Arabidopsis thaliana: one gene and its partners. The protein of the gene in region 3 interacts with the protein of the main gene of each other region in a pairwise test. Each region holds a gene or a part of one and is shown on either strand. Other genes may lie near its edges. The genes, in order: AT3G06435, AT2G18240 and AT1G30080.

What was found.
Region 1: the proteins of AT1G30080 (region 3) and AT3G06435 interact in a protein complementation assay, tested with the Arabidopsis thaliana proteins (one large-scale study listed by BioGRID).
Region 2: the proteins of AT1G30080 (region 3) and AT2G18240 interact in a protein complementation assay, tested with the Arabidopsis thaliana proteins (one large-scale study listed by BioGRID).

The regions. Positions count from the first base shown.
Region 1 is NC_003074.8:1,968,811-1,972,567, reverse strand, and holds AT3G06435 (uncharacterized protein), read left to right. Parts: upstream 1-1,783; 5' UTR 1,784-1,853; coding exon of another isoform or gene 1,854-1,863; coding exon 1,864-2,466; 3' UTR 2,467-3,209; coding exon of another isoform or gene 3,210-3,227; 3' UTR 3,228-3,532; downstream 3,533-3,757. Other genes in the region: AT3G06436 (uncharacterized protein), read right to left, coding at 1,572-1,619, 1,854-1,876, 1,956-2,163, 2,205-2,228.
Region 2 is NC_003071.7:7,933,216-7,936,972, forward strand, and holds AT2G18240 (Rer1 family protein), read left to right. Parts: upstream 1-2,028; 5' UTR 2,029-2,250; coding exon 2,251-2,612; intron 2,613-2,835; coding exon 2,836-3,070; intron 3,071-3,180; coding exon 3,181-3,249; 3' UTR 3,250-3,685; downstream 3,686-3,757. Other genes in the region: PPa2 (pyrophosphorylase 2), read right to left, coding at 85-113, 204-345. UniProt on the Arabidopsis thaliana protein: Involved in the retrieval of endoplasmic reticulum membrane proteins from the early Golgi compartment.
Region 3 is NC_003070.9:10,551,471-10,555,227, forward strand, and holds the start of AT1G30080 (Glycosyl hydrolase superfamily protein), read right to left. Parts: upstream 1,826-3,757; 5' UTR 1,698-1,825; coding exon 1,625-1,697; intron 1,509-1,624; coding exon 1,166-1,508; intron 994-1,165; coding exon 270-993; coding exon of another isoform or gene 252-269; exon of another isoform or gene 1-251.

The DNA of each region.
Region 1 (3,757 bases), on a different chromosome or scaffold from region 3:
ATATAAAGAAAACGCTTCGTTCAAACTCGTCTGTGAACTCCATAAAACTTATTAAAAAATCCGTCCAAAAAAATATATAGTATAGTTTGGATCGCATGAAAACATATCTAAACATAAGTCTTTGTTAGGGGTCGGATTGGGCCCTTCTCAAGTAGTTCATCAGCTCGCCCTTCTCAAGAAGCTCGTTAGCTCGCTCCACTTCGTCAAGCTCTTCAGATCGCCTTTAAGCTCTTCAAACTCGACTCGTCCTCAAGCTCCTCAGCTCGTCTTCAAGCTCTTCCCATCACTCAGCGACCATTTCCTCGCCTAGCTGTCAGCTAGTCAGCTCGTCCAACTCCTCGTCTAGCTATCAGCTCATCCCTCGTCAACTACCTGCCGACCTACCTCCAATGACGGCCTAGCTCACTTATTCTAATATGAACTACGTGTGGCTTGATCCCTTTCTAAGGGTACGTAGGCAACCTTTTACAAGGTTCAGCTATAAAACGAATAAACTCTATTCTTCCTCGGACATCAAGTTCGTCTTCCGGCCTCAAGCTCGCCTTTCATCTACAATCAGCTCGTTCTTACTCCATCTATGCTCGTTGAAGAAATCATCCTTTGTAATCCGTCCAATTCGCCTAAGTCGCAGGCTCGTCTTTAATAGAAAGATTCTTCCTTCCCTAGAGATCCCATTTTCGTACTTGTGTGATTCGTGCATCAACAGTTGGCGCGCCAGGTAGGGGGATAGCTCGAAGTGGCTTGATCCCTTTCTAAGGGTACGTAGGCAACCTTTTACAAGGTTCAGCTATAAAACGAATAAACTCTATTCTTCCTCGGACATCAAGTTCGTCTTCCGGCATCAAGCTCGCCTTTCATCTACAATCAGCTCGTTCTTACTCCATCTATGCTCGTTGAAGAAATCATCCTTTGTAATCCGTCCAATTCGCCTAAGTCGCAGGCTCGTCTTTAATAGAAAGATTCTTCCTTCCCTAGAGATCCCATTTTCGTACTTGTGTGATTCGTGCATCAACAGTTGGCGCGCCAGGTAGGGGGATAGCTCGAAGATATCTCTCAAAACTACGACCCCGCGACGAAGCAAAGTGATAACAAACAGACTACATGGAGCATTCGATACCGACTCGTCAGGCTCTGGAAGTAAAACGACAACGTCGATCCCCGGGAGAGCCAGTCACTCGACCTCTTCATTCGATATCGCAGCATGTTCTCCGACAAGAAAAGGACTTCAAGGAACTATCGACCCCATCATCCTAGGCGATGACACTTCCAGCCCGGCAGTCAGGACAATAACACTGACCAACGAGGAAGTGCCGCCGATCAAAGAGGAACATCCCATAACCTCATTAAACATACCGACCTCGTTATCACTCACGCCTAACCAAGAACAAGAGGAGAAGTCATCAGGCGGGCGTCACTTGGAGAACCTCGACGATGACACTCCCAGCTCGGCAGCTCGGACGATAACGTCAGCGCACGGGAAGACAACTCAAATAAAGGAAGAATACTACTCGGTATGTAAAAAAATTTTATTATTACTTTTTCAACCTAGTTATTTGCAGGTAAAAAAATCATTACTTTTTAAAAAGGCTAGCAGACGAATCAACACGGTATGCTATTAACTAAAACCAAAATAAAAATAAAACTTAGTGGTTTTCCAAAAATAAAAAACAGTGAGCGGATGACAGTTGTCAAAAGCAGCACATGGTTTTACTTACTTTCCCGGTTTAAAGAAAGAAGCAAACCCTAGTTTTAGAGCATCTTTCTTTCTTTCTTTCTTTTTCCCGTCGCTTTTAAAGCATCTTTCTTATCCGTCGCAGTTCATCTTCCTAACTCCATCTCTATAAAAGAAAAACCCCGGCAACAATGGCCAAAAAATCTAAGCGAAACCAAAATAATAAAGGAAAGACGAAGATTCCCCAGAGAGTTGAAGTGTTTGGTGTGAATGATCCAGTAACCAGATTTGGTTGGACTATCATGGCTTTTCTCTGCGTTTTTGGAGCTGTGGGTGCTGTGAATGCCTTGGAGATCCAGATGGATGTCTCTTATCTGGTAATGTTTGTTGTAGCTATCTATGTGATTCCAGTCTTGCATTCCATTTTCTCTGAAGCTCCATCTCCAGTTTACAGAGCACATCGATGGGTGAGAACTGTTATCCCTCTCATACTGCTTACCATAATCTACTTTACTGTCTTCAATTTCCAAACCCTTGCAGCATCTGTTTTGATCATATCAGTGGTTTTTGGAATTTTCGTGTTGGTTCAGTTGGTTTTCCCTGTAGAAAGATTTTACTTTTTTTATGTAGTGCTCATTTTGTTATTTGGATGCTGCTCAGCTGTATTTGCTGGTCAGTATGATCCCAAAACCCAGCCATTTGGGTTCTGCCTATTAACTCTCTTTGTTTTTGAAATGTTTTTCTACTTTTTCTACTATCCTGGGCCTACTAATAGGGCATTCAAATTCTATTAGATTACTCTCAAAATGATTGTCAGATCTAATTCACAAGAGACTTTTTTTGCATGTATAAATATCTGGATATTTAAGCATGACTTAGACTATCTATTTTTTTTTTTATAAATTATATTAGTTGATCTTGTTAGTTTGGTTAGGAAGGTATTAAAATATTACAAAGTGGATTTTTTTCTTAAATGACCGCTACACTGCTTATCTCGAATTTGGAATATTTCCATACTAATGTTTGGGAGTAGCCATATAGCCTATTGTTGGACTACCATCATAATATAAACTGTTAGGGTCTAATCTAGATTTTCGATATAAATGTGATATTTGTTTTAGGAAAGCTCGAACCCTTGGAGAGTGTTTTAGCACATCCCAAATCTCACTAATTACGGATAACTATGTATATATCTATTTTTAGATCTCTTATATTTGAAAACTAGCTAGATAGATTTTTTGAGACAAATCATTACCATTCAAAGCACCTCATATCTAACTAGATGAATGTGGTAGATGCAACTCTTTTTTTTTCTTTATTAGAAATTTAGGATACAGTCTTTATTAGTGAGACGCTATAACTCAACGGAATATTGTTGTGACCAACATTTACCTAATTCGTATCCTTACAATCTCAAGATGGCAGCATAGTAAACGTTGGATATATGCTTTATCTTCTTCTTTTTATATCCAAAATATATAACGTTGTTTACCGTAATGCCGTCGAAAATGAGTATCATAGGGGAACTTTTTTGTAGACGTTGACAATTCAGTAGGGACCTCAAGAATACAGAAGAAGGAACAAAATAAGGAATGCTTCTGATTCATTGTCCATTGACGAGAGAACTTATTGGCCTTTTGCATGTAAACTAATAAATACATATCTTTTTTTTTGTCTAAAAAATAAATACATATCTTAAGTGTCGTCTTTCCACTAAGCAGATTTCTCACCTGTGCAAATATTGTCCCTCTAAGAAAAACCTTTTCTTTATGTAAACATTGTCCCTAATCATGTTTTCCAATTATGTCTTGGATACTAGAAAAAATTCGAAAAGACACTCATATTTTTATATACATCCCAATATAAAAATTTTTATCCTACACTAGAAAACACATATAAAATAGAAATGGCGATGCATGTGAAGATATGATAAATTAAGTCTAGGCCTCCGTTATGACCCGAAACAAAATTTCTAAACCGACCGAGCCAGTTTTGAAAAGTATCCAACCCTATTAACTCATCATAAAAGTGTTTATTTTCTAATTTTCAGCTCAATATATGTCAATTCTTATAAAAGCCCCCAAT
Region 2 (3,757 bases), on a different chromosome or scaffold from region 3:
AAGCACATTTAACAATCACAAGACCAGCACTAACTTTCTTAATATGATCTAATCTTCCGCAATGTAGAAGAAGATAAAACTTACACAGTTGAAAACAGTAGGAGCTTCTGGACCTGAAAGATTCAACAAACAAAACACTTACATCAAACAATCAACACTTGACTCACATGACTATTCAAAGTAACAAAGACAAGGATTCTTACCAATCTCCAAGTCATGCCAAGGATGAGCAGCAGCTGATCTGTGAGTGAAGGCTGCAAAGTTTCTCTCATTCAGCGTAACATTAGGGTTCCTGAGAGGGAAAGCATAGCCCTTGGCGCTTCCTTCATCCTTGATTTCAGCCATATCGGATGTTCACTATAATATGCAAACAAAAGGAGAGTCTCATTCAATCATATACCAAACTCAAAACAGGCCATATAAATTATTCTCACTACTTAACCATTTCATACAATAACCACCAGACAAATCCTTCAACATTCCAGCAGAATCCAATCTTATAAACCATAAAAAATGACTGTTCAAATCCGAGCAGAGAAATGAAGCACACATTTCTACGATGGTTCACTGTTCTAATGCAACTCAATATCATCTTAGGCAAATATCTAACAACGCGAAAGGCTAAAGTATCAGAGATATGCGAAGAACATAGATCCATCATCGATTTCATGTAAATACACATCAAAACACTCAAATCACCAACTAGTCTAAGCTACATCAATTGGAAACTGAAATAGAATCGAAAAACAGAACTAATCCAAACAAATGAAAGATAATCGACGAATCGATCATCTGTGAAGACCAATCCAAGTACTCGGCGCTCAAAACGAAACGAAACCAACAAGAAAATAGCAAAATCAAACGAAATCGCTTCGATTCAACAAGAAGTGATCAAAACAAGTACCATTAACAGGAGAAGATAAACTAAAAATGACCTAATCGACGGATTTCGAAGGAAAAAAAGAAACGAGAGAAGAAGAAGAAGATGATCTTACAGATGAAATCTCAAGCTTCAATCGCGAAACCGAAGCAGAGAATCCGTAACGTTTTTTTCTTTCTTTCTTCTCTCTTCGTTTAAGAAAACAACAAGATTTTGCAGTTACAGTAGAGTTTTCGTGTGACTGTGTGTGTGGCGCTTCTTTATGGGACGTTGGAGGAGGAAGAAGACGCTGACGTCACTTTTTCCTCGGTTATTGTTCATCGTCAATCGTACGATGAATCGTGTCCGTTGAATTTGAAAGGTTAATGGATCTGACGGCCATGGTTTTTCAAGATTTTAATATCTTTCTTAAAAAAATAGTTAGTGTACCTTTTAATTGAACGAAAAGAAAAAGAGACGACAGTGATGTACCAAAAAAGTATCCGACTAACAAATTGTTATATGACGCGTGTCCTGAAAATTAGGCAATTTCTTTCAGTGAATTCCTTATTTTATTTTGTCTGTTTTTGGCAAACAAATTTATTATTTTCTTAGGATAAAGAAATGAATTTATATCACTCATTCTTCTTTCTTTCTTTTTTGTTTTCACTCAAAATCAGTCACTCATTATTCTGTGTATTTATTATTTTCTTTTTTGTTTTCATTATTCTGTCACAAAAACAAGTTGAATAACAAATTACCACTTTTGATATTTTTCTTTTTTCATAAGTATCTAATATGTCAAATGGGAAAAAATGATCATTATTGAGCTGTGGGGTTAACCACAACCAAAAAAACTGTGTCGTATGGATGTGACCATCGAGCAGTGTTTTTTTGGTGACTGTCAACTAGAATTACAAGTCTAGAGAATCATACGCAAAACGTTAAAATTCGGTTTAAGGTCCCAGAGAAACAAAAAAGATTCGGTTTTGGATTCTTTCTGGTTGGGCCTCACAGAATATCGAATCGTTCCATGTAAAAACCAAAAAAAGTTCAACATATTTTCCCTACTGGGCTTAAACAAATATTTTATGAAGCCCAACATGTTTAACAAAAGTATCTTACTTTGCGACACGTGTCATGTTCCTTCTCCCCACGTCATTCAGTTTCTTCCTCTTCTTTCCAGAAAAACCAAGACTTTAATACGACTAAGAAAAATTCAGACGAAACTGAGAAACTTTCAATTTAATTGGTTCAAAATCATCCTAAATCGAGTAGATTGTTTTGAATCGATTTTTGAAGTTGATTCGAAGTTCAGTGATTGTGATTAGAATTTATAACCAGACCCAGTTTTTGAGGTGAAGAAAAAGCAGATTTTGTGTTCAATTTCCATGGAAGACGAACCAGGAAGCGAAAATGAAGCAGACACCATAGTTGCTTCACCACTTGCAAAATGGAGAATCGAATTCTCGAAATCGTTTCAGAATTACTTAGACAGATCTGCTCCTAACATTGTTCGAAGATGGCTTGTGACTTTAGTCGCTGCAGTGATCTATATCTATAGGGTTTACTCTGTTTATGGATACTTCGTTATCTCTTATGGCTTAGCTACTTATATCTTAAATCTCTTGATTGGTTTCCTTTCCCCTAAAGTTGATCCTGAACTTGAAGCTTTGGATCCTGATTCTTTACCTGTTGATGAGTCTGATGAGTATAAGCCCTTTGTTCGTCGTCTTCCTGAGTTCAAGTTCTGGTAAAATTTCTCTTTTACTTTTGATGATGGATGATTTTGATTTAGGTTTGTCGAAAAGTTTGTGTTTTTACCATTCATTGTTAAAGTTCTGGTAGATTTCTTCTTTTGAGACAATTTGATTGATGATTGTTATGATAGTGAATTCGTATGAGAACTGATTTAGGTCTAATGGTCTGCTTTAGGGTTTGAATTCTCATGAAAGTTTGTCAATTTTGATTTTCAGGTATGCAGCGACTAAAGCATTTGTTGTTGCATTTGTGATGACATTCTTCTCTTTCCTGGATGTGCCTGTGTTCTGGCCGATCTTGTTGTGTTACTGGTTGGTTTTGTATTCTTTAACTATGAAACGCTTAATCGTGCACATGTTCAAGTATAGATACTTTCCTTTCGATGTAAGAAAGCCTGTGAAGCTGCTCAAGTTTCTTGTAAACAGTGTCCTGACCTTTTTAAGACTCAAGGTAAATCGTGCAACGGGGTGATTTGTATTCGATTTCTTTTGGATAGTCTTGAATCTCTGCTTTAGAAAGTTAAGAGTGCTGAACATAGATTGTGCTGATGTTTTTGACAGAAGGGTGATGGTGGAGATGATAGGCCCAGCAGCAGCAATTCATCTCAGGGAAATGAAAAACAAGATTAGATGCGAACAGTAGATCAGGTACTGATCTCGACGTGGTGATAGGCGAAGCAAGAAAGGATACAAACTAAGGATATCAAAGTAAAATATACTATAGCCATGCTGGTGGAATAGGAAAACAAAGTTCTTGAAGCTTAACAGAACTAAGAAATCTCTCTGAGTTTTGAGTAATCTCCTGCATTTTCCGGTTTTTGCATTGTAATGTGTAACAGTGTATTTTACAATTATACGTTTAAATGAATTTGGGAATCACAAGTAGGAAAAAGTATTCTTTACAGTTCCAGGACTTGGATACTACTCTGGACACAACTAATCACACAAAGCTGTGTTGACAGCCTCCAATACCAAGCACTGGTCCAAATCTCTTTGCAGAAACAGATACAGATTGGTCATCATACTCGGAGAACTGTGTGGACTCGAGTGTACTTACTTGACTTCCTAGGTTAGTATACTTCTCAAGCATTTATGTCTCTTGACTTCTATTGGTTTAGATATCGGTTTGGCAAATATT
Region 3 (3,757 bases):
TCAAGAAATATGTTAAAATAAATATGTTTGGTAAGAATATGTTCTAGAAAAGCCGAACTTTTCAAGTATAAAACGTCACAATTAGAAGAAAGAAACGTCACAATTCTCTTCTTTTTTAGACAACAGGTCAGAATTTGTTTTAAAAATGTTTCTCAATCAAAGCTTTTTTCAAGGGATTTAATGTGCTATATAAAGATTAAAAAGAAAGAAATATGGAAGTAAGAGATCTAGTAGAAACAGAGCAAGTAAAGTTAAATGTTGATACATACCGTGGAGGCAGAGGAAGTGAGGGAAATAATAGAAGTTGAAGAAGTAGTTGATGTTGATGTTAATGATGACGACGATAATAAACCTACATTGTAAGTCATGGTCTCATCAGGCTGATACAATCCATAATTCCTCTCAGAGGTTGGTCCTGGTTTAAGGTCTTCATTGAAAAGAGCAAATAGATAAACATCAAAACTCAAGTTTGGTCTCAATGGCGTTCCTTCATTTTGAAGTTGTCTCCTTAGAATATTTTTGTTATAAACGGCTGCGTTGGCCACAGTGGCTCCAACCTCATCTCCATCGCCTTTAGACGGCCATCCAGTCTCCGAGACCCCAACTTCGATGTCTTTGAAGCCAAGCCTCGCCATGGCAAAGATCACAGCGTCTACTTGAGCGTAGAGCATGTTGTCATAGCGGTACTTGGTATAGGGGTCAACCATTCCAGGGTTAGGGTTGAAGAGGACGTAGTCTAATGGGATCTTTGTTGGGGAATCCTTGTAAGCGAAGTAAGGGTAAGCGTTGATCCAGAAGGGGGAATTCGTGTTACGCAAGAAACCTAGTAGCTGTGTCATTACGCCAGCTACTTCCGGCCTAAAACATCCGGCGGATGGAGGGTAAGATTCTTGAAGGACGGATAGTGAGTTCGGAGTCGATACTTGAATGTACTTGTCTAGTCCGGTTTGGACCAAAGCCCCATGAATGCTCATCATTGCAGGCATAAGATACCTGCGAATCATAGCAATAACGAGGTTGAATACTTTCTTCTTTTTTTGAACTAGAGGATCTCAGGATGATACCCACATGACTACCATGATTTGGTTAGTAGGGCATATTTGTAATGGACCAAGATTTGAAAAGGATAACAATTTATAGGAATGAGGGGATGTATGTAACAAACCCTATAAGGCTTGAGTCATCGTCAGTGTATAGTTCGTTGCCGACGGCGATACCACCGATCTTGGTGGCCGGAAAGTAGGGTTTGATACGGGTAGTGACCCATTGGAGAGCTTGTTGAGGGTCTACTAAGCTGGGAAGCATTTCATTTTCGACGGTGACAAAGAGCTCGATATTGGAATTGGCAAATGAGGTTAACACTCGAGGGTTTGTGTCATAGATTCTTGTCTTATTGATATGGAGTGAACTCAAGAGTTGTAGAACTTTGTCCGGTGGAGGAAGATTGTCGCCGACTTGACCATAGTTGATGCCAAGAGAGGAGACCCTTTGAAACAACAATCCATGTTCTGTGAAAAAAATGTAAGAGAAATTTAAATAATTAAAGTGTAATGACAAACTGAAATTGAGATAATGAATTTTGTTTGTTGGTAGACAGAAATAAGCAATTATTCAAAAACGATACCTAAGAAAGTCAAGGAAAATAGAAGAAGAACGATAGAGTTGGTCATGGCAATTCTGCTAAACATGTTAGACATGGAGAAGAGAGAAAGAGGGAGATAAAGACTGAGGGAGAAAGTGCTTGTAAGAGAATCAATGCAATGAAATGTGGGGATAGATATAGAGATGAAGAATTGAGAAATGGGACCAAGTAGGCGACGAATAATTATTAATTTATAATTTAGAGATAATACTTTACTTTGCCTGCCTTTGTTTTATGGTGAGACATAGGGTTTCTACAATAAAAGTGACAATATGATTAATTCCAAAAATAATTCAATAAGTTATTTAAATTTATACTCGTTAGTTTTGTAATGGGAGTAGGTTTGGCAATAGGTTTATCTTATGGAAGTCTATTGTAAAAATAGATAGTGTTTGCCAAAAACATTCTTTGTGAGGCAACATGGGTTTCATAAAACATTTTGGACCCAAGAAGAAAAAAATATGACATCTTAGATTGTCTCTTTCCAACACATTGCCAACTATGTCAGTCCAAAAAAAAAAAAAAATGAAAAAGTGGCCTAAAAGAAGACACTTTCTTCAGACAAAGGCAAAGGTGGGAAAAATTGAATTGCCCACTATAATAGGTTTTTAATCTTAACAATATGTCTATTAAACACAAAGAAAAAAAAAACATTATGTCTTTGGCATAGAATTTGGAGGATCCCAAATTTGGTAGTTGGGTGAACCAAAAAAATGGAACGTAAAGAGTAGAAATCACACCATCATAATGATAAGAAGGATAGTGCGCTTATCTTCAGTTTATTATATTTATATAGTATTGCAATTTGCATCTTGTGAAATAAAAGCTCTTTTAAAAAACATTGTAACGATTGTTAGAATTGTATTTCACGTGAAATTATAGTATGACCCTCAGTTAATCCTATATTTGATATTCAACGGAGTTTAGTCGCATATTTAAAACTGATCCTACGTTTCAATTCAGAATTTATATACCGTTAGCTTACATGTAAAAGTAAATATTTCTAAATTCAACCTAACTCATCTAGTCAACCCGCTCGATCACAAAAAAAATTAGGTTGCACAACGGTTCATTATTTATGTTTTAGATGAAATAAAATAAATTAATTACTCGATTAATCAATCAATGGAAAAAAACGGTTTTAAACAAGTTTACAAAAAGAAAAGTTAATCAAAGTTGATATGTAAATTTACAGCCTAATTGGCCCTAGCCAATAATTTAGTTGTCTGAAACAATTTTTTTTTTCTTTCAGTTTGATATTAAAACAATAAAAGCTCTAACTATACACCAGGTGATAATTGTAATTCAACTTCATTTTGTACAGATTTTTGGAAGTTTGGGTTGTTACTTTTCTTATAGAACGGACTTCTTACTACAGTATAACCTCTATAAATTAATAACCTTTATAAATTAATAAATTCTTCCGGTCCCGAGTTGGGACTAGTGTAAAAAATGACACAAATCGATAAATTAATAAGATAATAATTTTTTGGAAAGTTCTATGTAAATATATGGTCTCATCGATATCATAAATTAATAATTGTATAAATATATCAACTATATATATATATTATATGTAAAAAATTTCTTTAAAATATATTTATAATAATTTTTTGTTTAAATTCATATTTGTTATTTGTTTGATTATAGTTTTCATATTTTACTATACCAAAACTTTTGTTATTTGTTTAATAATGTTTTCTAGACATTATTATTATGTTTTATTTGTAACTGGTTCTAGAAATATATTTTTTATAATGAAAAAAATCTTATAAATTTTTTTAAAAAGTTACCAAATTAAGAAAATCTCTCTATAAATTAATAAATATTAATTTATCAATAAATTAATACCTCTCTAAATTAATAAAATTTTGCAGTCCCAAATAGAGGTTATACTGTATATCGGATATTGATTAATTTCTGAAAATTTCAAATATATTAAATGGAATAGAGATCTGAAAACATATGTAAAGTAGCCTGCTTTATGAAATGATGCAACAAAAGTGACCCAATTTTATTTTTTTCGTAACCAACCCAAGAATCTAGTAACTTTTTTGTTTTTGCTAAACAAGAATCTAGTAACTTTTGGAAGATGAATTTCACTATAACGATACT